Anolis sagrei: one gene and its partners. The protein of the gene in region 2 purifies or fractionates together with the protein of the main gene of each other region. This does not show direct contact. Links are inferred from orthologs where the notes say so. Each region holds a gene or a part of one and is shown on either strand. Other genes may lie near its edges.

Region 1 (7,264 bases), on a different chromosome or scaffold from region 2:
CGAAAAAACCCACAAGAACCTAGAAGTGTTGTTGATAGGAGGAAGTGATTCTAGGGATACTTGGCTCGATCTCTCACCTCACCTCACCCAGAAAGCAGAAAAGAGAGAGATAGATGTGGGCGTGTATGTGCCTTCAGGTTACCTGTTCACCTATTAGATAGATAGATAAATAGATAGATAGATGTGGGTGTGTATATGCCTTCAGGTCATCTGTCCACTTATGGAGACCCCATGCATTTCAATAGGGCTTTCTTAAGCAAACTCAGAGGTGGTTTTGGCCCAGTTCCTCAATCTGAAATATAGCCTACAGCACCTGGTAGTCTCCCATCCAAGTTTTTTTTTGTTTTATGTCGTGTCAGGAGCTACTTGAGAAACTGCAAGTCGCTTTTGGTGTGAGAGAACTGGCCATCTGCAAGGATGTTGCCCAGGGGACGTCTGGATTTGATGTTTTTATCATCCTTGTGGTAGGCTTCTCTCATGTCCCCGTATGAGAAGCTGGAGCTGATAGAGGGAGCTCATCTGCCTCTCCCCGGGTCCAAACCTGTGACCTGTCGGGTCTTGAGTTCTGCCGACACAGGGGTTTAACCCACTGCGCCACCGGGGGCTCTTTTCCATCCAAGTGCTAACCATGGCTGTCCCTGATTAGCATCTAAGGCTGGCATGGCCAAACTTGAGCGCTCCCGGTATTTTGGACTTCAACTCCCACAATTCCTAACTGTTAGGAACTTTTTTTCCCATGTCAGGAGCGACTTGAGAGACTGCAAATCGCTTCTGGTGTGAGAGAATTGACTATCTGCAAGGATGTTGCCCAGGGGATGCTCGGATGTTTTGATGTTTTACCATCCTTTTGGGAGGCTTCTCTCATGTCCCTGCATGGGGAGCTGGAGCTGACAGAGGGAGCTCATCTGCAGTCTCCCCGGATTCGAACCGGGGGCTCCTGTTAGGAACTGTGGGCCTTGAAGTCCAAAACATCAGGAGGGCCCAAGTTTACCCATGCCTGCTCTAAGACCAGACTTACAGCCACCCATTGGATTTCATAGGGTTTTCAAAGGCAAAGAATAGTCAGAGCTCTTTTTGCCACTTCCTTCCTCTGAAATAGAGTCCATCGGCAGTCTCCCAGCCAAGAAACAGCCAGGGCTGACCCTGCTTAGCTTCCAAGATCAGTCCAGAGTTTGGTACTTTTTGGGTGCTTATGCCCTCAGAAGACATATAGTAATGTATTTCCTTCTCATCATAGGTTTAACCCAGGCATGGGCAAACTTGGGCCTTTTGGGTGTTTTGGACTCCAACTCCCACCATTCCTAACAGCCTCGGGCCCTTTCCTTTCCCCCCTCAGCTGCTTAAGCGGCTGAGGGGGAAAAGGAAAGGGTTTGAGGCTGTTAGGAATGGTGGGAGTTGGAGTCCAAAACACCCAAAAGGCCCAAGTTTGCCTTTTTAATCCCATATTTACTTCTATTATTATTATTTCTAGGAAAATAAGTATTGGGATTGTAAGTGTGGCTGTGAGTTCTAAGTGGACTCACAGAGTTCCTGCATGTCCTGTGTGCATGAAAAAGTGTGGTGTTAGCGAATGACCATGGCTACCCAGAGTGAATGCCCTCTGTACATGCCCAGAAGCATGGGCAACTCCAGGGTCCCCAGAGTTGAGTGCCCTCTGCATATGCCCAGAAACACTCCTGCCTACTGAATATGAAGGGGAACTTTTCCCAGATTCGACAAAACCACTTCCCAATCTGGGCAACTCCAGAGTCCCCAGAGTGAATGCCCTCTGCACATGCCCAGAAACACTCTTGTGTTCTCAAAAAACCTCCAGATTCGACTAAACCACTTCCCAATCAGGGCAACTCCTGAGTCCCCAGAGTGAATACCCTCTGCATATGCCCAGAAACACTCCTGTCTACTGAAGATGAAGGGGAACCGTTCCCAGATTTGACTAAACCACTTCCCAGTCAGGGCAACTCCAGAGTCCCCAGAGTGAATGCCCTCTGCACATGCCCAGAAGCATCTTGCGTCCTCAAAAAATCTCCAGATTTGACTAAACCACTTCCCAATCAGGGCAACTTCAGAGTCCCCAGGCTGAGTGCCCTCTGCATATGCCCAGAAACACTCCTTCCTACTGAAGATGAAGGGGAACCATTCTCAGATTCGACAAAACCACTTCCCAATCTCGGCAACTCCAGAGTCCCCAGAGTGAATGCCCTCTGCACATGTCCAGAAGCATTCTTGCCTACTGAAGAAATGGAAGAACCGTTCCCAGATTCGACAAAACCACTTCCCCATCAGGGCAACTCCAGAATCTACAGAATGAATGCCCTCTGCACATGCCCAGAAGCACTCTTGCCTCCGAAGAAGCAGAAGAACCGTTCCCAGATTCGACAAAACCACTTCCCAAGCTGGGCAACTCCAGAATCGACAGAATGAATGCTCTCTGCACATGCCCAGATGCATTCTTGCCTACTCAAGAAGAAGGAGTACCATTTCCTGATTCGACAAACCCACTTCCCAATCAGACAACCTCAGTGATGTCCTGACGCAGCGTGGAAGCCTCTCTGCGTATGCTCAGGGGCACTCTTGTGCACTTAAGGAAGAGGAGAACAAAAGCACCCTCCAACCCCCCAGATTCGACACAAGCTCCCTCCCAAACACAGCAACCGGCTTCCCTGACAACCGAAGGGGACAAACAAGGCCCTGGCTGTCTCCAACCCTTCCTTGAAGCGCGTGCCACCCGCTAGTGTGGACGCGAATCCCGCTTTAGCCCCCGATCCCGCCCAATGGGAGCAAGGGGGAGGCGGAACGCACCTTGCTCTTGACTTCCATGGGGCCGAGGCCGCGGCTTCCTCCGCCTCCTCCCCGCTGGACCCGGTTCATGCCGCCCGAGGGTCGCTCGGACTGGAAGCTGGGGCTCCTTCTCCGCCGATCCCGAGGAAGGGAAAGGTCCGCCCGAGAGCAGCAGCGCCGCAGCAGCTCCAGCCGCCGCCTCCTGGCACCTGCAGCTCCAAGGAGGAGGAGGAGGAGGGGAGGAGGAGGAGGAAGCAGCGCGCATGCGCGGACGCGGAGCCGCCCCGCGGATCCACCACAAGGAGGGGAAAGCCCCTGCACACCTGCGAGCCCCGGAGGCGCATGCGCACCTGTTGCTTCTTAGAGGGAGAGAAAAAAGAAAGGCACCTGCTAGGGAAGGCAGGATCCAGACTGCGCCTGCGCCATTGGGACAGGGAAGGAGGAGGTGTTGTGTTAGACAGCAGGGAGAGAAATACCTGCCGGGCTGGATTCCAAAGAAAGGGAGAGGACGGCGCATGCGCGGCTGCTGATAGTTTTTTTTTCCAATGGAAAGGTGCACTACGTTGTAACAACAACTTTATCTATATACCACCCTCTTTCCCCAATGGGACTTAGGGCGGTTAATGCAGGATTAATTGTAGGATTAATGCAATTTGGCACCGGTATGGACTCCTGGTAGTTGTATCTTGGTAGAGAGGGCTTGTTAAACTACAACTCCCAGGATTCCATAGCACTGAGCCATGGCATTTAATGAAGTATCAAACTGCATTAAGTCTATAGTGCAGATGGATCCCTAGTTACTGGAGCAACAGATTTTCAGAGCCTTGGAAACCCATTAGTTTTCATCCGTAGAAAAACAGTGCATTGTTTTTCTTTGCAGAGTTGCCCCATCATTCATGAGAATAAGGTAAAAGTTTACCCCTGACATGAAGTCCAGTTGTGGTGCTCATCTCCATTTCTAAGCCGAAGGGCCGGCATTGTCTGTAGACACCTCCAAGGTCATGTGGCCAGCATGACTGCATGGAGCACTGTTACCTTCCTGCAGAAGCATTACCTATTGATCTACTCATATTTGCATGTTTTCGAACTGCTAGGTTGGTAGAAGCTGGGGCTGACAACAGAAGCTCACACCGCTCTCCGAATTTGAACCTGCGACCTTTCAGTAAACAAGCTCAGCAGTTCAGCGCTTTAACCCACTGCGCCACCGAGGGCTCCTTCATGACAATAAACATGACTCTAAATAGTTACAGCATTTATAATCTTTTAACTTTAGTAACAATTTGTGATCTCAATTGAAAAGAGTTCCAACCAAAGTCTTGAAGTGCTTCAGAGAAAAAATAAGAATACTTCAATAATGTATTTTGGGGATGGGAAAGAAGAGCTGGGCATGTTTAGCCTGAAGAAGAGAAGGCTAAAAGGAGACATGATAGCCACATATAAATATGTGAGGGGAAGTCATAGGGAGGAGGGAGCAAGCTTGTTTTCTGCTTCCCTGGAGACTAGGACGCAGAACAATGGCTTCAAACTACAGAAAAGGATATTCCACCTGAACATGGGGAAGAACTTCCTAACTATGAGAGCTGATCAGCAGTGGAACTCTTTGCCCCAGAGTGTGGTGGAGACTCCTTCTTTGGAGGCTTTTAAAGAGAGGCTGGATGACCATCTGTTGGGGGTGCTTTGAATGCAATTTTCCTGCTTCTTGGCAAGGGGTTGGATTGGATGGCCCACATGGTCTCTCCCAACTCTATGATTCTAAGAAATTCATGAAAAAAAGTTTGTTTACTGATTAAAAAGGCTGTTTATGGTTTCATCTCCATATCTACTCAAACAATATTGTTACAGGATAAACAACATCAAGGGTGATAATTTACTTGATTTTCTTCCAACATGACACATTTTATGACCTTCAGCAGTGGCTGGATCCACACAATGTGTAGATCTACATAATGCAATTGTCCTGCATTGAACTACATTATACGGATCTACATTGACCATATTTTGCAAGTTCAAATTGAATTATATGGCAGTATAGATCCAGCTTGTGCCCTGCACAGAATAAATCTGTTTCTAAACAAAAAAATGGACACGAATCTGATATCAGAAATGGCAACATTTAGAAGCCAGTGGGAAGACATTTCAGTCTCGCCGTTTATTCCATAGATCACCTGAAAAGTTACCCAGAACCTCAATTTGTGGCTGATACTGGATGAGACACACACACACACACACACACACCCGGCACACAGAAGACTGGGCGACTTGGAAGGCGCTGAACAGACTGCGCTCTGGCACCACGAGATGCAGAGCCAACCTTAAGAAATGAGGTCACAAATTGGAGTCCATGACATGTGAGTATAGAGAAGAGCAAACCACAGACCACTTACTACAATTCATCCAGAGCTCTGCCACATGCACAATGGAGGACCTTCTTACAGCGACACCTTTAGGAGGCACTCCAAGTGGCCAGCTTCTGGTCAAAAGACTTAGTATAATGCCAAGTTTTTAACTTTGTGTTTTAAATACATTCTAATTGTACCCTCTACTTGCTTCTGATATGATAAATAAATATCTGAAAAGCTCCTTCTTTAAATAATACAGATTCAAAGGGGCAATGTTGTTAAAACAGTTGATCTGAAACTTCTCCAGAAGTATAGTGTTTATCTATCTGAGTTTCAATTGATGTATGCTCTGCTGCTGCTGTTGTTGTTAATTAATAGAACAAATCTAGGACACTTGTGTTTTCACAGACCAGTTCTTTTGTGAAGCCATTACTTTTTAGCATATATCTGCATATCTTTAATTCCTTAACAATTCCTTGTCATAGAGGACATGCTTTGTAATTTCTCTCCATCTCAGCTGCTGCCTACTGTTCTTTATTTATTGGGCTGGATATATGGTAGTTGTATTTTGAGTAATCTTATTAAAGTAAGTAGAACTTACACTAAAAAATGACTTTAGGCCTATTGTGGCATTATTCACAGCCAAAAGTATTTTAGTCTGTTTCAGCTTGAAAAGACATAAATGGTACATTTGAAAGTGACTGAGGAATAGCAAATTCCTAATGCAATCGTTTGTGGATTATCAGATGCAAACCCTATTGATTTCATTACGCTTATCAGCCAGTTATTACTGAAATTCAAGAAAACAGTGTTAATCTTTAAAATACTGTTATGACAGTTTTTTTGTGTCTGCTATAAAAGGCTGAATTGTGAAATACTTTTAGAAAGAGTCTTTTGAATTCTTATGTAGGTGTTTCTAAGTCTCCTTATGGAAACAGATATATGAACCCAAATGCATCTTCATTCACTGAATGACACGCCCGTGTCATTCAGTGAATGAAGATGCATTTGGGTCTGGAAGTGTGTGCTGCAAAATTTATGCTGGACTAAAGAGTTTGAAATCTTTCTCGTGGTTTAACACTTTAAATATTCTTCTTTCAAGTAAAAGACAGGTGGACTAATGGGGAATCTATGTGAACACTAAGGCAACAACATTTAATTGGATGGCACAAGTGTGTATCAGGGTGGATCTACACTGGAAATAATGCAGTTTGACACCACTATAACAGCCTTTGCTCAATGATATGGAATTCTGAGAGTTGTAGTTTTACAAGGAGTTTAATCTTCTGTGCCAAAAAGTTCTGGCACCTCACCGAACTACAAGTCTCAGGATTCCATAGCCTTGAGCCAAATCAATTAAAGTTGTGTCAAAATGCATTAATTCTGCAATATAGATGCACTCTTGACTGTAATTCTGTTTGGGAATGAACTATATTAACTCACAACACTTACTTCTGTGTAACCATGGATAGGGCAGGCCTGTTTACAGTTCAAATCTTTTGTCTTGAACTCTAACCTCAAACAAATTATTTAAATATATCAAAACTAAACAAAAACAAGTGGAAGGGATCAAAATCAATAGGTATATTGAAGCTGAAAATGAACATAGTTTTGTATACTGGGAATTCATTTGTACATACAAATCAGTTATTTCTTTGATAATTTTTCAGTATAGGGTGGAAGGAATACTTAGGATATGAATGTGTTGCCTATTAATATACATATGTGTAAGCTGTGTATATGTCCAAAAGGTCTATTACATTTTTCAGGAGTGTTCGAAAAAGTAACTTTCCCAAACTATACAGATCACATGGAGAGGATTTTCATGTCAGTCGAATTGACCTGCTTCTGAGACGCAAAAGCCGTTCAGTTGAACTCTGAGTGCTTATACTCATCATGTGGAAGGTTTTATCACTCCAGGTTTATTAGGTTTCTATGAAGGAAGTTTATTTCTCCCCCTTGCATTCTTCGCATGGTTGGAGTTCCAGATAAGGAGGGTGTGCCCGAAAGGTTGCTTGAAGTCAGCAAGGTACATTCATAAGGCAGAAATCTTGGGACCTCACCTCTTCAAAAATATTAATCATCGGTTGCCCAACATCACACAAATGACTTGGTACTGTAGTCAACCAAGGAAAGGAAGCAAGTTC
Region 2 (7,461 bases):
GCCAATTCTCTCACACAAGAAGCGACTTGCAGTTTCCCAGGTTGCTCCTGACACGACCAAAAAAAAACCCCAGCTCTGAGGATGCCTGCCATAAATGCAGGCAAAACATCAGGAGAGAATGCTTCTGGAACATGGCCTTACAGCCGGGAAAGCTCACATCTCAGTTTGACAATACAGGGACGCTCAATGTTTTTTGTACATGCTCACATACTGTTCCAAGGCTGAATAATAATAATTATATGTGTCTCCCCCTCCCCCTACCCCAAAATTGGGCCTGTTTCAGATATATTTATGAATTGTATGGAGAGAAGTGGTGACTGGACACAAAACCAGGAATGATGCAAGCAGAGTAGGAGGGCAAGTTAGTGTGTAACAGACTGGATTCTCTGGAAGGACACATCAGCCACAGTTCCTCCTGAAATGTAATAATGGTTTGAATCCCCTTCACAGAAACAAGACAAATATCTCTCCTCTACACTGAGAGAGTATTTTTCTGGAAATGCAGAGAGTCTGTATTACCGCAAGTGTTCAAACTACGCACAACCACACCGCTACAGCAAAAGCTGTTTCTTTTCCAATAAGAGCTCTTTTCAAAACAAGGGGAGGATAAGCCACGCTGGTCTAACGCCATAGGTTTGTTATAAAGGAGTTTGTTTTCCAGCTTGAAAAGAGGCAGAAGTCCAAGAGAGCACATGCTCCAGCAGCCTCAGAACTCCACTCCCAGGCAGAGGGGGGACTCCATGATTTCTGGTGGAGTGTTTCCCTTCCCTCGGTCCCTCCCTCACTCCCTCCCTGCTTGCTTCTTTGGGCCTGGACTGGCTGGAAAGCCTGGGGCTGGATTTCAAGCCTTTTGCAGAAACCACAGCTCGTGGAGAGGGAAAGGCAGAGGAGGAGGAAACTTGTCCCATGGCAGGGAGGGAGGGACAGGAAAGGAAGGGAGAAAGAGTCAAAGAAGGCTCGCTCTCTCTCTCTCATTGTGAACAAAAACCTTTGCAACAACTATGAAACACAACTCTGCAACAGTTGCAAGAAGCACTTGAGAAGTAAACAGTATAAAGATCTAAAGGAGTTGTATCACCTCCAGAAAACATTTGAAAATCTAACACAAGGGGCATAATTTGCATTTTTTTTCAGGATCCTGTCACATGATGTCCCAATTCTGTGTAAATAATATGCTTTATATGTATGTATAAAGCATATTTACGAATGCTGGCGACAATGAGGTGCTGCCATCTCTCCCTTTTTTCCCCTCCTCCTTGTTATGCTATTTCTTGGGAAACTAGAAAAAGCTCCACATTCTCCTGATCTGACGCCTTCCAAAACCTCGAGAGATTGGGGGGGAAGATCTCGGCGTGGAAAGTCTCTCCTTCCACGGGAGAAACGGACGCGGGAGGGAGAAGGGAAAGGAAAAGAAAAGGGAAGCCTGCAAAGGACGGGGTCTCAGAGAGAGAGAGAGAGAGAGAGAGAGAGAAGGAAAGGAAAAGAAGGGAAGCCTGCTCTTGAAAAGGCGGGGGGGGGAGGGAGAAGGAGGGGGGAAGGAAAGGAAAGAAGGGAAGCCTGCAAAGGACGGGGGCTGAGAGAGAGAGAGAGAGAAGGGAAGGTAAAAGAAGGGAAGCCTGCTCTTGAAAAGGACGGGGAGGAGGGGAGAGAGAGAGAGAGAAGGGAAAGGAAAAGAAGGGAAGCCTGCAAAGGATGGGGTCTGAGAGAGAGAGAGAAGGAAAAGGAAAAGAAGGGAAGCCTGCTCTTGAAAAGGCGGGGGGGGGAAGAGGGGGGAAGGAAAGGAAAAGAAGGGAAGCCTGCAAAGCACGGAGGCTGAGAGAGAGAAGGGAAGGGAGAGGAAAAGAAGGGAAGGCTGCTCTTGAAAAGGACAGGGGGATGGGAAAAGAAGGGAAGCCTACTCTCCGGGCAAACCACTTGCTGCAGCCCAAAGAGCGGCAGGCGGGAGCAACAACAAAGAGTTCAGTCCCTGAAGGCAACACACCAACACCTCGGGACTCCTCGCGACGCCAGCCCCCCCCCCCCCCCCAAAACACAACACCGGGAAGGAGGGAGAAATCTCTGCTCGTCCCAAAGTGGTGGGAGGAGGAAGAGAAGGAAGAGGAGAAGCCATATTCCAAGCCTTTTCCTCCCCAAAACATTGCAGAAAAGTATCCAAATGGGAACGAGTTTCCCACACCAAAGTTTCCCACTCCAAGTCGCTCGCTATTCCACGGATTGTGGCCAAGCTGAGACTCCAACTCCGGAACCCACTGAAGGGGGAAGTCGGGGAGAGAGGGCTCTGTCCCTTTGGCCCTTCCTTCCAGGGCTCTCCTTTGGCCCACTTTGCTCCCTCTTCCCTCGCCAGCCCTCCCCAGGCCAGGAAGCGCCATATTGATCCCGGGCGCGCTCTTCTCGGGCTCCCTTCTTCTTCCCAACTGAATGTATTACTTTTTGTATTACTTGTTATGTGTTCGGGCATCTAATTGTGCCCTCCCCTGTAAGCCGCCCTGAGTCCCCCCCGGGGTGAGAAGGGCGGGGTATAAGTGAATGAAATAATAAATAATAATAATAATAATGCGCACACACACACATGGATACAAAGCCCCAGACTCACCTTCGCCACGGCCTTCCTGTACCTGGTCACGGCTTGCTCGATAAGGCTGCCCACCTGGAGGTTCCCGTCGCCGCAGGGCACGACCACCCGGGTCCGCCCGAAGCAGACCGTGACTTTCATCCTCCCCTCCCACGGCCCAAGAGGCCCAAGAGGAAGGGAAGAGCGGGTCAAGGCGCCTCCGCGGGTGGATGGCCCTTCACATGCTGTGGGCCAACAAGAGGAGAAGAAGGAGGAGGAGGAAGATGAGGAGAAGGAGGAGGCTCTGCTGCCTGCCTGCCTGCCTTCCTGCCCGCTGCCTCTGGCCACCTGTTCAGCGTCGCCTCGCCTTCCTGCCTGCCTTCTTTCCTTCCTTCCCGCCTCCCGCGTCCCTTCGCACGGACTGGGCCGCCCTCCTTTTCTCTCTCTTTCTCTCCTTCTCTTCGCCCGCCTCTCCTGCCCACGCCTCCCTCCCTTCCCTCCTAAGGGAAGAGAAGGCGCTCCTTTTGGATACCTCTCCCCTCTTTCTTTTGTTGACACTCTGGACATTTCAGGTCTACCCCCCTCCCAGGCAGGGGCAAACTTGGGCCCTCCCTCCAGCTGTTTTGGACTCCAACTCCCACCATTCCTAACCGCCTACCGGCGGTTGGAGTCCAAAACACCTGGAGGGAGGGCCCAAGTTTGCCCATGCCTGATCTATCCTAGAATATCACACTAGGGGGCGGGGGGGGGGGGGGAATCCACTTCAAATCCGGTTTCTGCCTCCTGCAGAATTCTGGAGTTTGTAGTTTAGGAAGAAGCTTGGAACAGGCGCACAAAACTACAAACCCCAGAATTCTGCAAGAGGCAGGAACCTCTTCCAACTCTATGATTCTATCATTCCGTGTACTTTCTGAAGCAGGAATATTGCATTCAAATCACCCCTGACAGATGGCCATCCAGCCCCTGTTTAAAAGCTTCCAAAGAAGGAGCCTCCACCACACTCCGGGGCAGAGAGTTCCACTGCTGAATGGCTCTCGCAGACAGGAAGTTCTTTCTCGTGTTCAGATGGAATCTCCTCTCTTGTAGTCTGAAGCCATTGTTCCTAGTCTCCAGGGAAGCAGAAAACAAGCTTGCTCCCTCCTCCTTGTGGTTTCCTCTCACATATTTATACATAGCTATCATATCTCCTCTCAGCCTTCTCTTCTTCAGGCTAAACATGCCCAGCTCCTTAAGCCGCTCCTCATAGGGCTTGTTCTCCAGACCCTTGATCATTTTAGTCGCCCTCCTCTGGAGACATTCCAGCTTGTCAATATCTCTCTTGAATTGTGGTGCCCAGAATTGGACACAATATTCCAGGTGTGGTCTAACCAGAGCAGAATAGAGGGGTAGCATTACTTCCCTAGATCTAGACACTATGCTCCTATTAATGCAGGCCAAAATCCCATTGGCTTTTGTTAGCTCATGTTTAACTTGTTGTCCACGAGGACCCCAAGATCATACATATATATATATATATATATATATGGAGTTAAGACTCAAAAATGTACATGTATATATATGTACATATATATTTCATCATCACCATTTAATTACTTATTAATCGCCCTCCATCCAAGATGCTCTAGGCGATTTACAAGCTAAAATTGTAAAGCATAAAAATACAGATATTGATAAAATTAACAAAGATCAAAAGCTCTAGTAAAAAGCCAGGTTTTAAGTGCTAGGGTAAAAGGCTCTAACTCACTAATGGCTTTCATATAGGGTGGCAAGGAATTCCACAAGGCAGGGCAGAAGAAGAAAAAGCTCTGCGTCTGGTCCTTTCCAAGTGCACTTCTCTAGGACCCGGTATATAAAGTAAGTCAGTTGGGATGGTCGTTGCGACCTCCGATGATGGTAGAAGGAGAGGCGGTCCCTAAGATACGATGGACCCTGGCGGTAAAGAATTTTAAAGGTCAGAACTAGCATCTTATATAGACCACAGTAATCAGTTGGAAGCCAATGCAAATGCCGCAACACTGGTGTTATATGGCATTTCATGGGCGTTCTTGTGAGTAGCCTGGCTGCCACATTCTGAACAATACAGAGCTTTCGGGTCGTAGACATCGGAAGGCCAACATACAGGGCGCTGCAATAGTCCAGCCTAGATGTGACTGTGGCATGGATGACTGTTGCCAGAGCCTCATCAGATAGGTAGGGTGCCAATTGCCTCGCTTGTCGTAGATGGAAAAAGGCCTGTTTGCTGGCAGCAGTGACCTGAGCTTCCATTGTCAGCTGCGAATGTAGTGTATGTGTATGTACATATACATACATACACATACATAGGTATATATGTGTGTGTATATATATATGTATGGGTATATATATATATATAACGGCGCTCCATGCAGTCATGCCAGCCACATAACCTTGGAGGTGTCTACGGACAAGAAAGAGGACCTTCTCGGTGGTGGTCCCTCAACTCTGGAATTAACTTCTCAGGGACATTAGACATGCCCCAACATTGGTGGTCTTTAGGAGGAGCTTGAAAACATGGTTGTTCCAGTGTGCCTTCCCAGAATAAGGAGAACTCTCAGCAATATGCCCTCATAATGCACTTTAATACTGACAGGATGGATTGCGTTCCCTCGTTTCTCTCTGAAAAATCCTATCCCAGTTACATGTTGCCTGTTCATGTCAGCATATTTTCAATTTCAATCTATTACATTTGGCCCGGCCATTTTTAATATGTCATTATTGATTATTGTTTTTGTTATGTGATTTATATGATTTGTATTTTATTGATTGTTTATTAATGTTGTGTTATTGATGTTGTTTGATGTACTTCGGGCTTGGCCTCATGTAAGCCGCACCGAGTCCCTTGGGGAGATGGTAGCGGGGTATAAATAAAGTTTATTATTATTATATTATTATTATTATTACAGACAATGCCGGCTCTTTGGCTTAGAAATGGAGATAAGCACCAGCCCCCAGAGTCGGACACGACTGAATTTAATGTCAGGGGAAAACCTTTACCTTTTACATACATATACATGTATATATATATATGTATGTATGTATGTGTGTGTGTTTGCGTGTGTGTATATATACACACAGACATACACACACAGAGATACATATACATATGTGAGTGTGTGTGTATGTGTATGTATGTATATGAGCTAAATGTTTTGTGTTAAAATCTGGCTAGGTAAAGGTTTTCCCTGACATTAAGTCCAGTTTTGTCCAATTCTGTGGGGTGGTACTCATCTCCATTTCTAGACCACAGAGCCGACAAGGTCCACTGAGCTGCATGAACTCGCTTTCCAAAAAGTTGCAGGTTCTAATCTGGGGTGCGGTTTGAACTCCCACTGTCAGCCCCAGCTTCTGCCAACCTAGCAGTTTGAAAACACGCAAAATGTGAGTAGATCAGTAGGTAACACTCCGGCAGGAAGGTAACAGAGCTCCATGCAGTCATGCCAGCATGGTTGGAGGTGTCTACGAACTACAACAGCTCTTCAACTTAGAAATGGAGATGAGCACCACCCCCTAGAGCCGGACACAACTGGACTTAATGTCAGGGGAAAATCTTTACCTAGCCAGATTTTGTTCAACACAGGATCCCCCCAGGCAGCAACCAGATAGGCTTTGAAGCTGCAAGGCCACTAAATGCTAATCAAGGTGGCTAATTGCAACATTCACACTTACCTAGGTAGACCACAAGCTCTACTCTTTCATATTTCTGAGTTCACCTTTCTCTGAACCTGAGAGAATGTTACTTGTCCAGAATCACCCAGGCGGTCCCCATGTAAGAGTAAGGATTCAAACCCTTGTCTCCTTAAAAATAGTTAATCACTTAAACCAGGGGTCCTCAATCTAAGACCCAAGGGCTGGATATGGCCCTCCAAGGTAATTTACCCTGCCCTTGCTGAGGGTCAACCTATGTCTGAAATGACTTGAAAGCACATAACCACAACAACAACCACAACAACAATCCCATCTCATCAGCCATTGAAATACTAATAAGTTTATATTTGTTAAAATTGTTATTCATTTTAATTATTGTATTGTTTTGAAGTGTTTTTTGCACTACAAATAAGATATGTGCAGTGTGCATAGGAATTCATTCATGGATTTTTTTCCAAATTATAACCCGGCCCTCCAACAGTTTGAAGGACTGTGACCTGGCCCTCTGTTTAAAAAGTTTGAGGACCCCTGACTTAAACCATTGTGCTGCACTAATTCTCTATAGGTAGTTTAGTGAGCAGTATTTAGAACTGCCAAAGCCCTTTAGTGCACCAAACTAAAAATCCCAGGAGCCCACAGGATGGAAGTATGCCAGTTAAAATGGAATAAGAACACTATAATTATGTAGTGTGAGTAAGCCCTCTTAGAGATTTGAGGAAACCTGCACAGGTTCTGGTTACAGGATGGGGAACTGTGTTTATTTTGCTGGGTGACTTGTGAGTAAACATGATTACAACCATACTATGCAAAGGTTCAAGGCCAACTTGTTACGGGGTTTTCTTGGCAAGATTTATTCAGAGGTGGGTTGGCTTTGCCTTCCTCTGAGGCTGAGGGATGTAACTTGCCTAAGGTCGCCCAATAGGTTTCCAAAGCTGAGCAGGAATTCAAACCCTGGTGTCCCAGTAAGAAAGGCTTCAGAAAAGAGCATTTCATCTTGAAAACTTGATCTTAATCCAGATCCAAAAAGCCAAGACGTTCATGAATGGAAATCTCCTGAGCCCCAGGCCCAAAGATTGCTCAAAACATGCCTTGCTTCATTTGTTGCACATGGGCCACAGGGTTATTAAGCTTGCATTCTTAGGTACAATTTCATAACATAAATACTGATTGATCTCATTGGGGTCAACATTAATTTGAAGGTGGAGTAGATCAATAGGTACCGCTCTGGCGGGAAGGTAACGGCGCTC
Region 3 (7,118 bases), on a different chromosome or scaffold from region 2:
AATAAGATGGGACCAGCATTTGGGTACAGTACTGTAATAGGTAAAACGACAAAAGTGGGAACAAAAGCTATTTCCAGGAGCCTGTTAGAATGACCAGAGTACTATATAGGGGGCTAGGTTGTGTCCGGACAGTGTCTGGACTGAGCTAGCACTGGTCACTCTCGAAGATTTGCTGAAACCACCAAGTCTTCAAACTCTTATGAAAAGAGAGGAGGGATGGGGCCTGTCTTATTTCCCTTGGAAAGGCGTTCCAGAGGCCAGGTGGGGGGGGGGGGCACCACTGAGAAGGCCTTCTCTCTCGTCCCCACCAACCATGGTTGTGACGGAGGTGGGAGCGAGAGGAGGGCCTCCTCCTCAGATCTTAGAATTTGCGCCGGTTCATAGATTCAGATGCGATTGCAAAGATAGGTGGGGACCGAACCGTTAAGAAAAAATAACAGTACAGTGAGGCCACTGCATTGGTTTGCATTACAGGAAGGAAATGTACATCTGCTTACATATAACCCAGAACATCAAGGCAGATAACCCACAATATCTGCTTTGAACTGGATTATCTGAGTCCACACTGCCATAGAATCCTGCTCAATGTGGATTTTTATACAGCTGTGTGGAAGGGCCCCCAGAAAAGCCCCTCAATCCACTCAAACATTAGAAAACAGATGGATCCTCAGTGTTTGTGCATGCTCATTAGAAGGAAGTCCTAATGAAGTCAATAGGTAAGCTTGCCAACCTAGTATTGTTCTTAATTTTTTTTTTTACATTTTTATTGTATCAGACATAGAAAGATACAATCTTCAAAATCAGCAATCAAAATACCAGTATTTTCCCAAATCCCACCACCACCCATCCACATCTCCCCCCTCCCCCCGCCCAGGAACAGTTTACTACTTTTGCTATTCTTATTACAATTGTTCAATCACGAGGTTAGTCTTATTTAACTCCTTATACTTATCTTTCCCCTTTATTCTGGAAATGAGACCCTTCCATTTTGCCTCCCATGTCCTTCTGATTTGGCCCGTCCTATAGTAAGTTTTCTTTCACTAATCTATCTTTCTTTCTTTCTTTCTATATATAAATACTCTGTACGTAATGAGTACCTTAAAAACAAAAGAACCAATGAACGAAATCACAGCAAATTTGGCAACAAAACATCTTACAACACAAGGAGTGACCATCACTCAAAAAATTATGATTTTGTCATTTGGGAGATGTAGTTGCTGGGATTTATAGTTCACCTACAATCAAAGAGCATTCTGAACTCCACCAACGATGGAATTGAACCAAACTTGGCACACAGAACTCCCATGACCAAAGGAAAATACTAGAATTGTTTGGTGGGCATTGACCTTGAGTTTGGGAGTTGTAGTCCACCTACATCCAGAGAGCACTGTGGACTCAAACAATGATGGATCTGGACCAAACTTGGCACAAGCACTCAATACGCCCAAATATGAACACAGATGGAGTTTGGGGGAAATAGACCTTGATATTTGGGAGTTGTAGTCACTGGGATTCACAGTTCACCTACAATCAAAGAGCATCCTGAACCCCACGAACGACAGAATCGGGGCAAACTTTCCACACAGAACCCCCATGACCAACAGAAAATACTTAAGGCCATCCAATCCAACTCCCTTCTTCAGGGCAAGAAAACGTAATCAAAGTCCTCCTGACAAAAAGCCACCCAACCATAGATAGATATAGATAGATAGATATGATTCACACACACAGCGAGAGAGATAGTATTATAGATTTGAAAGGGACCCTTAAAGAAGGATAATGATATCTTGCATGTTCCAGGATGGGCAAACCAGGCACTCTCCACATCAACAATGACAAAGAAACAACAAGAAGTACTGTTTACCCACAAGTATAAAGGAATTACATATATTAGAAACCAACACTTTCTCGTTACTTTATTTTCCAGATCAACAGACTGGGCCACAGCAACGTGTGGCAGGGGACAGCTAGTATGTGTGTGTGTGTGGTTTTGAGCATGCACTGTAATGTAAATTTTGTTTTTTGGCTTTTGAAGTCCCTTCTGCTGTGTTTTTATGAGTGATTGTCACTCGTTGGCCTGATATGTGTTTTGTGTCCAAATTTGGTGTCAATTCGTCCAGTGGTGTTTGAGTTATGTTACTCCCACAAATTACATTTTTATTTATATAGATATTGTTCTTATTTTAAAGAAATGTGTGTGGGGGAGGGGGTGGCTTAAGAATATATTTGTGTTGACCAAAAGGGGCTGTTTGGGGTTCTTTTCAACGGATTGTGCTGCCAGTTTCATAATTTATGACTTTAAAAAAAGTAACAAGTTTGGGAAATCAGGCTGACGTTTGAAGACATCCTGAGTTGATGCATTAACTTCCTAGTAAACCTAAGCAGGCTGCCTGCTATGGGTGGACCAAGTGAAGGGGGGAGGGAGGAGGAATGATGCTGAGGCCGAAAATTGGGGGGGGGGGGGGGGACGGTAAAACAAGCCGTCAAGGAGGCAAAGCGGAAGACAAGTCGGAAAGAGGGGAGGACTTGAGGAATGAGAGGAAACCCTGCAAGAAAGCAGCTGAGGAAGGAAGGAATGCTGGAGGCGGGGAGGGGGAAAGAGAGAGAGAGAGAGAGAGGAGCCCAAAAGAGCAGGAGAAGGGAGGGAAGGAAGGAAGCGAGGAGAGGCAGCGGTGAAGGGAAGGGACGCCAACGCCGAAGTTTGTACATACGGGCTTCTCTGGCTACGGCTCCATCCGCGGCTGGGGTTCCTCTCCTCTCTGCAGTCGCCGCTGCGGGCTTGCCTCCGCCCCTTCCCCAGCCAAGGAAGCTCGCGCCCTGCTTGCCTCCCTGACTGGATTCCTTGCCTCGCGCTCTCTCTCTCTCTCGCGCGCGCGCGCCCAATCTCTCTCGCTGAGTTGGCTGCAGGCAACGGAGTTTGGAGCTGGCCTCCTGGCCCCGCCCCCGCCTGGCTGCGTCTTTGGAGCTCTTCCCCGACGGTCCGCCTGCCTTCTCCTCCAGGAGGGACCGAAAGGGAGGCGTGGGAGCTCTTAAAGCCGCAGCAGCAGCAGCATCCGCATCCGTCGCAGGAGGAAGAGGAGGGGGCCAGGCCTTCCCTCCGCTCCTGCCGGCGGAGGGGAGGCGCGCGCCCATGGGCGCCTGCTGCACGAGGTCAAGCTCTCCCTCCCGGTCACTGATCCCGGCTGGGAGGCACCTAGAACAAGCCAGGCACCCGCAGAGAATCATCGCTGGGGAGATTTGGGGGGGGGGGGGGAGGTAGACTGTAGAGAAAATTCATACACACATATAGGAATGTGCAGGGCCGTAGCCAGAAAAAAATTTCGGGGAGGGTTGACAATTTCAGGGGGGGGGGTTAAAATTTCAGTGGGGGGGTTTGAAAATTTCAGGGAGGGTTGAAATTTTCGGGGGGGGGGGGTTGAAACCTACCTCCTAGCTCACGCTGAAGCAAAGAGCACAGCAGGGGGAAAAGCAACCTTCAATAGTCTGCAGCTCCACCCCTGTCAACCACCTCCACCAAGTCTGGCCTCCTTAATGAGAGCATTCAACAGACACACCCCACCCAACTTGGTTGCTTCACTACATCCGCTATTGCTGAAAGTAATGACAGTGTGAATAAATTGTCAATATTTGCTTGAGATAGTGCTTACAGTTCTGGAGGGACTCTTAATTTTTTGCATCTCATAGACCTAGCATGGGGATTTTTTTAACCAGTTAAAATTCATGAGTAAACCAGGTTTTTTAAAAAAATCTGAAACATTTCGGGGGGGGGGGATTGAACCCCTAAAACCACCCCCTCGCTACAGGCCTGGGAATGTGTGTATATTCTTTTGGGAGGGGGAGGGGGGAAGTTTGGTAATATCGGTTTGGTGATGTGCAGGCCTGTAGCGAGGGGGTGGCTTTAGGGGTTCAACCCCCCTCCCCCCAAATGTTTCAGATTTTTTTAAAAAAACCTGGTTTACTCATGAATTTTAATTGTTTAACCCAATCCCCTTTTTATCTTGTATGCAGAACACATCATGCGATGTGCGGGGCTTGATGAATGCAAGGCTGGGGTGAAAATTGCTGGAAGAAACATTAACAACCTCAGATATGCAGATGACACCACTCTGATGGCCGAAAGCGAGGAGGAGCTGAGGAGCCTTCTAATCAAGGTGAAAGAAAAGCTGGGTTGCAGCTAAACATAAAAAAAACCAAGATTATGGCAACAAGAATGATTGACAACTGGAAAATAGAGGGAGAAAATGTGGAGGCCATAGAATCATAGAATCATAGAATCAAAGAGTTGGAAGAGACCTCATGGGCCATCCAGTCCAACCCCCTGCCAAGAAGCAGGAATATTGCATTCAAATCATCCCTGACAGATGGCCATCCAGCCTCTGTTTAAAAGCTTCCAAAGAAGGAGCCTCCACCACACTCCTGGGCAGAGAGTTCCACTGCTGAACGGCTCTCACAGGAAGTTCTTCCTCATGTTCAGATGGAATCTCCTCTCTTGTAGTTTGAAGCCATTGCTCCGCGTCCTAGTCTCCAAGGAAGCAGAAAACAAGCTTGCTCCCTCCTCCCTGTGGCTTCCTCTCACATATTTATACATGGCTATCATGTCTCCTCTCAGCCTTCTCTTCTTCAGGCTAAACATGCCCAGTTCCCTAAGCCGCTCCTCATAGGGCTTGTTCTCCAGACCCTTGATCATTTTAGTCGCCCTCCTCTGGACACATTCCAGCTTGTCAATATCTCTCTCCATAACATACTTTGTATTTCTAGGCGCAAAGATCACTGCAGATGCAGACTGTAGCCAGGAAATCAGAAGACGCTTACTTCTTGGGAGGAGAGCAATGTCCAGTCTCAATAAAATAGTGAAGAGTAGAGACATCAGACTGGCAACAAAGATCCGCCTAGTCAAAGCCATGGTATTCCCTGTAGTAACCTACGGATGTGAGAGCTGGACCTTAGGGAAGGCTGAGCGAAGGAAGATCGATGCTTTTGAGCTGTGGTGTTGGAGGAAAGTTCTGAGAGTGCCTTGGACTGCGAGAAGATCCAACCAGTCCATCCTCCAGGAAATAAAGCCCGACTGCTCACTGGAGGGAAGGATACTAGAGACAAAGTTGAAGTACTTTGGCCACATCATGAGGAGACAGCAAAGCCTAGAGAAGACAATTATGCTGGGGAAAGTGGAAGGCAAAAGGAAGAGGGGCCAACCAAGGGCAAGATGGATGGATGGCATCCTTGAAGCGACTGGACTGACCTTGAAAGAGCTGGGGGTGCTGACGGCCGACAGGGAGCTCTGGCGTGGGCTGGTCCATGAGGTCACGAAGAGTTGGAGATGACTGAACGAATGAACAACAACAAGCATCTCCCGAAGGATTCGATGCGGCTTACACAGGCCGAGGCCTCAACACACAACACAACAGTCCAATCTAAGCAAATCAAACAATTAAAAACAGAATAAAGCAAAATAAACAACAGGCACAATACACTAAACACAATAAAACTGGGCCAGGCCAAAGCAATGGGTACAAGATTAAAAGTGCTGATGTGACAGGAGGTGTATATAGGGCTTCCAGGGCAAGTGCGATGTGCAGCAATCATTGGTTCTGATAAGGTGCTTATGGGACTTGGTAGTGGAGATTTCCTAATCTGGGAAGGCGCATCGGAAAAGCCAGGTCTTCAAGTTCTTTCTGAAGACAGCCAATGTAGGGGCCTGTCTAAGGTCTTTGGGGAGGGTGTTCCAGAGTCGGGGGGCCACCACAGAAAAGGCCCTGTCCCGCGTCCCCACCAAGCGCGCTTGCGACGCCGGTGGGATTACGAGCAGGGCCTCTCCAGATGACCGAAGAGAACGCGTGGGTTCGTAGATGGAAATGTGGTCACGCAGGTAGGCTGGTCCCAAACCGTTCAGGGCTTTGTAGGTAAGCACCTGCACCTTGAATAGGGCTTGGAAATTAAATGGCAGCCAGTGGAGCTCCTTGAACAAGAGGGTTGACCTCTCTCTGTAAGGGGCCCCAGTTAGCATCCTGGCTGCTGATCGTTGGACCAGTTGGAGCTTCCGAGCCGTCTTCAAGGGCAGCCCCACGTAGAGCGCATTGATCCCGGCTGGGAGGCACCTAGAACAAGCCAGGCACCCGCAGAGAATCATCGCTGGGGAGATTTGGGGGGGGGGGAGGTAGACTGTAGAGAAAATTCATACACACATATTGGAATGTGTGTATATTTTTTTGGGAGGGGAAGGGGGAGGGGGGAAGTTTGGTAATATTGGTTTGGTGATGTGCAGGCCTGTAGCGAGGGGGTGGTTTTAGGGGTTCAACCCCCCCCCCCCAAATGTTTCAGATTTTTTTTAAAAAAACCTGGTTTACTCATGAATTTTAACTGGTTAACCAAATCCCCATGCGAAGTCTATGAGATGCAAAAAATGAAGAGCTATGGGGAGCCCTCTCAGCCCGGTCATAGCTAACTTCTACATGGAACACTTTGAAGAACAAGCCCTGGAGACAGCAACCAAAAAGCCCACGATATGGTTCAGATATGTGGATGACACTTTCACCATTTGGAGCCAGGTTCCTGGACCATCTTAACAGCATCCATCCAAACATCCAGTTCACCATGGAAAAAGAAAATGAAGGAAGACTGCCTTTTCTAGATGTCCTAGTCATCCGCAAACCAGATCAACAATTGGGTCACACCGTCTACAGAAAACCCACACACACAGATAGATATCTACATAAAAACTCCAACCATCACCCAAGTCAAAAAAGAAGCACCATTAAAGCCTTGGCAGACCGTGCAAAAAGAATCTGCGAACCCCACCTCCTCCAAGATGAACTGAACCACCTCAACTGGGCTCTCCAGGCCAATGGATACTCCACCTCAGCCATCAGAAGAGCTGCAAGACCAAGAACAAGCCACGAGAGTCAAGATGAAGATCCACCCAGATTAAAAGTGTTCCTGCCATACATCAAGGGAACCACTGACCACATAGGGAAGCTGATGAGGAAACACAACATGCAAACAATCTACAAACCCACCAAGAAAATCCAACAAATGCTACGTTCAGCAAAGGACAAGAGGGATCCTCTCACCTCTGCAGGAGTCTACCGTATACCATGCAGCTGTGGACAAGTCTACATAGG
Region 4 (7,867 bases), on a different chromosome or scaffold from region 2:
GGTGAGCTCCCACTGTTAGCCCCAGCTTCTGCCAACCTAGCAATTTGAAAACATGCAAATGTGAGTAGATCAATAAGTATCACTCCAGCGGGAAGGTAACAGCACTCCATACAGTCATGCTGGCCACATGACCTTGGAGGCGTCTATGGACAACGCCAGCTCTTCGGCTTAGAAATGGAGATGCTTTGGTTAGACCACACCTGGAATATTGTGTCCAATTCTGGGCGCCACAATTGAAGAGAGATATTGACAAGCTGGAATGTGTCCAGAGGAAGAGGGCGTCTAAAATGATCAATAGAGACAAAGTTGAAGTACTTTGGCCACATCATGAGGAGACAGGAAAGCCTAGAGAAGACAATTATGCTGGGGAAAGTGGAAGGCAAAAGGAAGAGGGGCCGACCAAGGGCAAGATGGATGGATGGCATCCTTGAAGTGACTGGACTGACCTTGAGGGAGCTGGGGGTGGTAACGGCCGACAGGGAGCTCTGGCGTGGGCTGGTCCATGAGGTCACGAAGAGTCGGAGACGACTGAACGAATGAACAACAACAAAATGATCAAGGGCCTGGAGAACAAGCCCTATGAGGAGCGGCTTAAGGAGCTGGGTGTGTTTAGCCTGAAGAAGAGAAGGCTGAGAGGAGACATGATGAGGGCCATGGATCAGGAGGTGAGAGGAAGCCACAGGGAGGAGGAGGGAGCAAGCTTGTTTTCTGCTTCCTTGGAGACTAGGACGCAATGGAGCAATAGCTTCAAACTACAAGAAAGGAGATTCCATCTGAACATGAGGAAGAACTTCCTGGCTGTGAGAGCTGTTCAGCAGTGGAACTCTCTGCCCCGGAGTGTGGTGGAGGCTCCGTCTTTGGAAGCATTTAAGCAGAGGCTGGATGGCCATCTGTCAGGGGTGATTTGAATGCAATATTCCTGCTTCCTGGCAGAATGGGGTTGGACTGGATGATGGCCCAGGAGGTCTCTTCCAACTCTTGGATTCTAGGATTCTATGAGCACCAATCCCCAGAGTTGGACAAGACTAGGGTGCTCATCTTCATTTCTAAGCTGAAGAGCCGGCATTGTCCGTAGACGCTTCCAAGGTCATGTGGCCACTGGCATGTCTGCATGGAGCACCATTACCTTGCTGCCGAAGCAGTACCTATTAATATACTCACATCTGCATGTTTTTGAACTGCTAGTTTGGCAGAAGCTGGGACTAACAGCAGGAGCTCACCCTGCTCCCTGGATTCGAACCACCAACCATTTGGTCAGCAAGTTCAGCAGCTCAGCAGTTTAACCCACTGCACCACCAGGAGGCCATTACTATATTGCAATATTCTTACTACATATTGTAATATTGTATTATTATTAGTATCATATTGTATTACATTATAATATTATTATAAATATTATATCTATATACAATATATGATATTATTAGCATAGCTCAATACTAATGTTATATATTACTATATTGCACTACACCACTATACTGCAAATAATTATTAGTAAGATGACCTGTAATACATAATATACAATTGTATTATATTAATATATTGTACTATATTATTATAATAGCAATATAATATGAAATAATAGGAATAAGATAATATAAAGTATTAATATATACTGAATACACAATAGACTAATAATATTAACAAAATAATCATAAATTTATTTATTTATTTTATTTACAGTATGTATATCCTGCCTTTCTCACCCCTGGGGGGCCTCAAAGCGATTTACACATAAATAATGGCAAGTTTCAATGCCTTACATCGGCACCGATACGATGCCAATACAAACAATTACAATAGTAAAACCACAATTAAACATCAATCAAAGTTAAAACAATACATCAACAAGCATTAAAACAATAAAACAGTCTTGTCAGTCGAATTGCTGTTCCAGTCAATGTCCTCTAAAATATATAAATAAATATAAATATATAAATAAATATAAATAAATAATATGATTCATGTGAAATTATATATATGTATATGTATATATATGTGTGTGTTTATAATACTAATATCAAATAATATATAATAATATGGCAACAAAATAATATAAAATAACTATATGTACATACAATAATACTATAATAATAATAAATTATATGAAATAAAATAATATATAATAATATTAATATCAAATAATATATAATAATTAGCAACAAAATAATATAAAATAACTATATATATGCACATACAATAATACTATAATAATAATAAATTATATGAAATAAAACAATATATAATAATACTATTATAAAATAACATACAATGGCAACAAAATAATATAAAATAACAATGTGTTTATATATACACATACAATAATACTATAAAATAATACATGTAATAATATAATGTCAACAAAATAATATAAACAATATATATATGCATACAATAATACTATAATAATAATAATAATAAACAGAGATAAAATTATTTATATATATATATATATATATATAGTAATATAAAATAATAATATAATGGCAATAAAATATTGAAAAATAACTCTTTCTCTCTCTCTCTCTCTCTCTATACACACACACACAGAGAGATACACAATAGTACCAGTGCTCTAAAATAATGCTCCTGATGGGAAGGCAATGGGAAGCCGGAGCATCCTCTCTCACCAATGGCTGTGCCTGGGAAGGAAGGAAGGAAGGAAGGAAGGAGGAAGGAGCCCCCCCCCCCTCCGGAGGCCTCCCTCCCTCCCTCCCCAGCCGGTCTCCTCCTGGTTGCATAATCCCTGCTGGGAGGGCGCCTGGGGGGCGGGGGGGGGGCGTAGGAGGCGGAGGCGCCGAGACCCCCACCATCCATCCCGGGGTGGGGGGGGGAGAGGGAGGGCACCTGCTGCGGACTACTGCTCACCTTGCTCTTGACCTCGATGACGGGCTCGGAGGCGCGCGCCGGCGTCCGGTGGGGCTTGGCCATGCTGGGGGGACCCACCGGGACAGGAGGAAAGGGAGAGCAGAGGAGAGGAGGGGGCTAGCCCGGCTCCCCCTCTGCCTCCGCCTCCTCCTCCTCCTCTGCAGGCAGGCAGGCGGACCCGGGGATCTCGCCCCCGCCACCACCACCGCCGCCGCCGCCGCCGCCGCCGCCGCGCCTGACGTCACCGGCCCCGCAGGTTGGTTGCGGGAGAGTGAGGCGCGCCATTGGCCGCAGAAGCGCCGCCGAAAAGGGGCGGGACGAGCAGGACGCCCCCCCCCCCCGGGGAAGGAGGGAGGGAGGCCCACAACGTCGCCTTGGCAACCGGGGCGCACCCCCCCCCCCGCAACCCCGCAACCCCCACCCCGCCTCGCCAGGGACCTGCCCCGCTGCCATCCCGGTTGTGGGTCCAGCACCTGAGTCGGGAGCAGCATCACGGCTGGGGAGGGGGGGGGGCAGAAACAGAAGGGAGGGAGGGAGGAAGGAAAGGAAAGGAAAGAAAGAAGGAAGGAAGGTGGGAAAGGAAAGGAAAGAGGAAAGGAAAAAAGGTAGGAAAGAAAGAAGGAAAGAAAGAAGGAAAGGAAGGAAAGGGAAAAGGTAGGAAAGGAAGGAAGGGGAGAAAGAAAGACAAGGAAAAAAGGAAGAAGGGAAGGAAAGACAGAAAAAATAAAGGAAGGAAGGAAAGAAAAAAGATAGAAAGGAAAGACGGAAGGGAAGACTGAAATGGAAGGAAAGGGGAAAAGGCAAGAAAGAAAGAAGGAAGAGGAGAAAGAAAGACAAGGAAAAAAGGCAGGAGAGAAGGAAAGACAGAAAAAATAAAGGAAAGAAGGAAAGAAAAAAGAAAGGAAGGGAAGACGGAAGGGAAGACTGAAATGGAAGGAAAGAAGGAAGGAGGGAAATAAGGAAGGGGAGAAAGAAAGACAGAAAAGGAAGGAAAGGAAAAAAAGGCAGGAAAGAAAGAAGGAAGAGGCGAAAGAAAGACAAGGAAAAAGGAAGGAGGGAAGGAAAGAAAAAAGATAGAAAGGAAGGAAAGCAGGAAGGGAAGACTGAAATGGAAGGAAAGAAGGAAGGAGGGAAAGAACAGACAATACATCAATCAGGCCACGGAGTGACCATCACTTATAAAAACACTGAAAAACACAGCAGACAAGACTTAAAAAGCCAAAAAAAAAAAAAAACCCACACTACAATGCACGCACATAACCACATTGTTCCACTGACATTAAGTCCAGTTGTCTCCGATTCGGGGTGTGTGTGTGTTGGTGCTCATCTCCATTTCTAAGCCCAAGAGCCGGCGTTGTCCACAGACACCTCCAAAGTCATGTGGCCTGCATGACTGCATGGAGCACCCTTACCTTCCCGCCAGAGAGGTACCTATTGATCTGCTCACACATTTGCATGTTTTCGAATTTTATTTATTTATTTATTTATTTATTTATTTATTTGAGGTTCTTGTACCCCGCCCTACTCACCTCGTAGGGGACCCAGGGCGGCTTACAACAGCAAAGGCACGCTTAGATGCCTGCCACACAAAACAATCATCACAGAAGTACAACAATTCATAGTTAGCACAATTCAAGCCATTATCCCAATAAAAACAATTAAAATCGATAAAATCAATAAAATCAATACAAACCTAATTCTTCCTCCTACCCTATCAGTGTACACTAACTCATAGATCTGTTTTTGATTCCACTTCAACAATCCTGCTGATCTTGCACATCTGATTGTCTTATTTAATTGTCTTATTTAATTGCCTGGTTGCCCAAAGGCCTGGTTCCACAACCATGTCTTCACCCTCCTCCTGAAGGAGAGGAGGGATGGTGATGCTCTAATTTCCCCCGGGAGTGAGTTCCACAGGTGAGGGGTCACCACTGAGAAGGCCCTGCTTCTCGTCCCCACCAGCCTCACTTGTGACAGTGGTGGGGTCGAGAGCAGGGCCTCCCCAGATGATCTCAAACTCCGAGGTGGGACGTAAAGGGAGATACGTTCAGACAGATACACTGGACCAGAACCGCACAGGGTTTTGTAGGTTAAAACCAGCACCTTGAATTGTGCTCGGAATTGAACTGGCAGCCAGTGGAGCTGGCATAGCAGGGGGGTGGTGTGCTCCCTGTATGTCGCTCCAGTGAGCAATCTGGCTGCCACTCGCTGGACTAGTTGAAGTTTCCGAACAGTCTTCAAGGGCAACCCCACGTAGAGCGCGTTGCAGTAGTCTATTCGGGATGTAACAAGAGCATGGATCATCATGGCCAGATCAGACTTCCCAAGGTATGGGTGCAACTGGTGCACAAGTTTTAATTGCGCAAAAGCTCTCCCGGCCACCGCCAAGACCTGGGGTTCCAGGCTCAGCGATGAGTCCAGGATCACTCCCAAGCTAGGTTGGCAGAAGCTGGGGCTAATAGAGGGAGCTCACTCCACTCCCCGGATTCGAACCTACGACCTTTCCATTAGCAAGTTTAACAGTTTAACCCACTGTGGGTTTTGGCATAACCACATGTGTATTTATGCATAAACACATACACACACACATATACACATACATACACAAACAAAACTCATATACACAGACTGGGTCACAGCAACGTGTGGCAGGGGATGGCTAGTCTATATAAATAAAAATGTAATGTTTGTTTGTGGGATTAATGAAACTGAAAAACCACTGGACGAATGGACACCAAATTTGGACCAAGACCCCTCTCAGGCCAATGAGTGACCATCACTCAGAAAAACACTGGAAAACACAGCAGAAGGGACTTAAAAGCCTAAAAAAGAACAACATTCCAATGCATGTGCAAAACCACACACATATATATGCAAACACACATATATACGCACATGCACAAATATATATTTATGCATAAACACATACACAGACACATATACACATATATACACGCACAAAACACATATACACAGACTGGGCCACAGCAATGCGTGGCAGGGGATGGCTAGTAGTTCTTAAACCCAGGAATGGGCTGAAGCTGCCCGTGACAAGTCTTCAAAGGCTCCACAACAGACCGGCCTCTCTCCAGCCGCACAAGTCTGTTTCAACATCATGAATTTTAGACTTGAAATAAAAACTGGGGAAAACACTTGACGCTCTTCCTTTATTTATTTTTGGATCAAAGCCTTTAGATCTTTTTGCTGTCACCCTGACGGTTGCCAAGTTTTCCTGCCACTGGGGGGGTTTGAAACGGGGTTTTTTGGACATGAAAGAGATTTTTCTCCCAGTTTAATAGCATGCTTTTGTTGTTGTTGTTGTTGTTTTTAATTTGATTTTACACTTTGAAAGGATCTCTCGGCTTGGCTAGAGATGGAATACATTGGGTAAGAGTTGGCAACAGCCGTGCTGCCAAGCTGGGTTTCTTTCTTTCTTCCTTTCTTTCTCCTTGTTTACATATCAGTTTGGAAAGTGTGCCGTCGTCGTGCGCTTTGCCATATCTTATCTCCTTGATCATGAAAAGTAAGAAACATAAGACGATCCGTTCTGGTGCGCATTTTGGGACAAAGCACGGCCTGTTCTGAAACTGTTGCCAATACATTTCTTTTAGAGGCTCTAAGGTTTAAATGACACTGAAAGGGAAAATCCAATTTCTCGACACTAGGCATGTTTTCCTTCTCTCGCAGTAGCCGTTCCCTTTCTGAACCCAAAAGGCCTCTCCTTTGGTAAGCTGCAATTCGCTCTATGTGGAAGGGATGATGATGCCTTTGGTGCTGAAAGATGTTGCCTCTACCGACTTGTCACAGTGTAGCTCAGACGTTCAGCCTCTCATCCACTGCTAGACTACTCTGGAATATGGCTGGCAGAGGTCTCTCTGCACAGCCTTAACCTTGGCTGCACATTGATGCATAACCATCTTATGTGCGGGTTATCATGGGTGGGATGCATATTTTGCATTGTTGTAGGATTTCAGGGGGTTTGTCTCTTTTGAGGTTTTTCTGCTGCAGTGGGACTTGCGACCTCATCACGCTAGAGAATGAATCCACTCTAAATCCAGATTCTGCCTCCTGCAGAATTCTGGGGTTTGTAGTTTAGAGGGGAGCTTTTAACAGCCTCATTAAACTACAAACCCCAGAATTCTGCAGGAGGCAGAATCTGGACTTAAAGTGGATTCATTCTCTAGTGTGATTAAGTAATCGCTTGTCCTGAGCTCCCCACTAAAGTTTTGCACTACATGCTGCTATTTATTTATTTATCGTGTCATCAGTAACCATTGTATTGCAATTCTAACAGAGCAAAACAAACACACCGATTAAAAAGAAAAAGGAAAAAAAAAACACACAGATTTTGCAAATTTGGTATTTGGTTAAATGTCCTTTGACCAGTATCTGGCCACTTGGAGTGCCTCTGGGGTTGCCGCAAGGAGATCCTCCATTGTGCATGTGGCAGGGCTCAGGGTGCATTGCAGCAGGTGGTCAGTGGTTTGCTCTTCTCCGCACTCGCATGCCGTGGATTCCACCCTGTAGCCCCATTTCTTAAGATTGGCTCTGCATCTCGTGGTGCCAGAGCGCAGTCTGTTCAGCGCCTTCCAAGTCACCCAGTCTTCTGTGTGCCCAGGGGGGAGTTTCTCATCTGGTATCACCCACGAATTGAGGTGCTGGGTTTGGGCCTGCCACTTTTGGACTCTCGCTTGCTGGGGTGTTCCAGCGAGTGTCTCTGTAGATCTAAGAAAACTATGTCTTGATTTAAGTCGTTGACGTGCTGGCTGATACCCAAACAGGGGATGAGCTGGAGATGTCACTGCCTTGGTCCTTTCACTATTGGCTGCTATTTGCCGTCAGATGTCTCATGGTGCAATACCGGCTAAGCAGTGTCATTTCTCCAGTGGTGTGGGGCACAGACACCCTGTGATAATGCGGCATGTCTCATTAAGAGCCACATCTACTGTTTTAGTGTGGTGAGATGTGTTCCACACTGGGCATGCATACTCAGCAGCAT

What was found.
Region 1: the proteins of PARD3 (region 2) and PARD6B purify together in Homo sapiens (affinity purification with mass spectrometry; 5 studies listed by BioGRID and IntAct, counting the BioPlex papers as one, with this or other methods). This does not show direct contact. The link is inferred for Anolis sagrei from reciprocal best matches to the Homo sapiens genes PARD3 and PARD6B.
Region 3: the proteins of PARD3 (region 2) and RASSF8 purify together in Homo sapiens (affinity purification with mass spectrometry; 4 studies listed by BioGRID and IntAct, counting the BioPlex papers as one, with this or other methods). This does not show direct contact. The link is inferred for Anolis sagrei from reciprocal best matches to the Homo sapiens genes PARD3 and RASSF8.
Region 4: the proteins of PARD3 (region 2) and PARD6A purify together in Homo sapiens (co-immunoprecipitation; 7 studies listed by BioGRID and IntAct, with this or other methods). This does not show direct contact. The link is inferred for Anolis sagrei from reciprocal best matches to the Homo sapiens genes PARD3 and PARD6A.

The regions. Positions count from the first base shown.
Region 1 is NC_090024.1:222,696,971-222,704,234, reverse strand, and holds the start of PARD6B (partitioning defective 6 homolog beta), read right to left. Parts: upstream 3,010-7,264; 5' UTR 2,869-3,009; coding exon 2,800-2,868; intron 1-2,799. UniProt on the Homo sapiens protein: Adapter protein involved in asymmetrical cell division and cell polarization processes. Probably involved in formation of epithelial tight junctions.
Region 2 is NC_090026.1:114,015,404-114,022,864, forward strand, and holds the start of PARD3 (partitioning defective 3 homolog), read right to left. Parts: upstream 3,021-7,461; 5' UTR 2,714-3,020; coding exon 2,594-2,713; intron 1-2,593. UniProt on the Homo sapiens protein: Adapter protein involved in asymmetrical cell division and cell polarization processes. Seems to play a central role in the formation of epithelial tight junctions. Targets the phosphatase PTEN to cell junctions.
Region 3 is NC_090025.1:91,142,263-91,149,380, reverse strand, and holds the start of RASSF8 (ras association domain-containing protein 8), read right to left. Parts: upstream 3,022-7,118; 5' UTR 2,712-3,021; intron 1-2,711.
Region 4 is NC_090028.1:43,969,417-43,977,283, reverse strand, and holds the start of PARD6A (partitioning defective 6 homolog alpha), read right to left. Parts: upstream 3,003-7,867; 5' UTR 2,932-3,002; coding exon 2,869-2,931; intron 1-2,868. UniProt on the Homo sapiens protein: Adapter protein involved in asymmetrical cell division and cell polarization processes. Probably involved in the formation of epithelial tight junctions.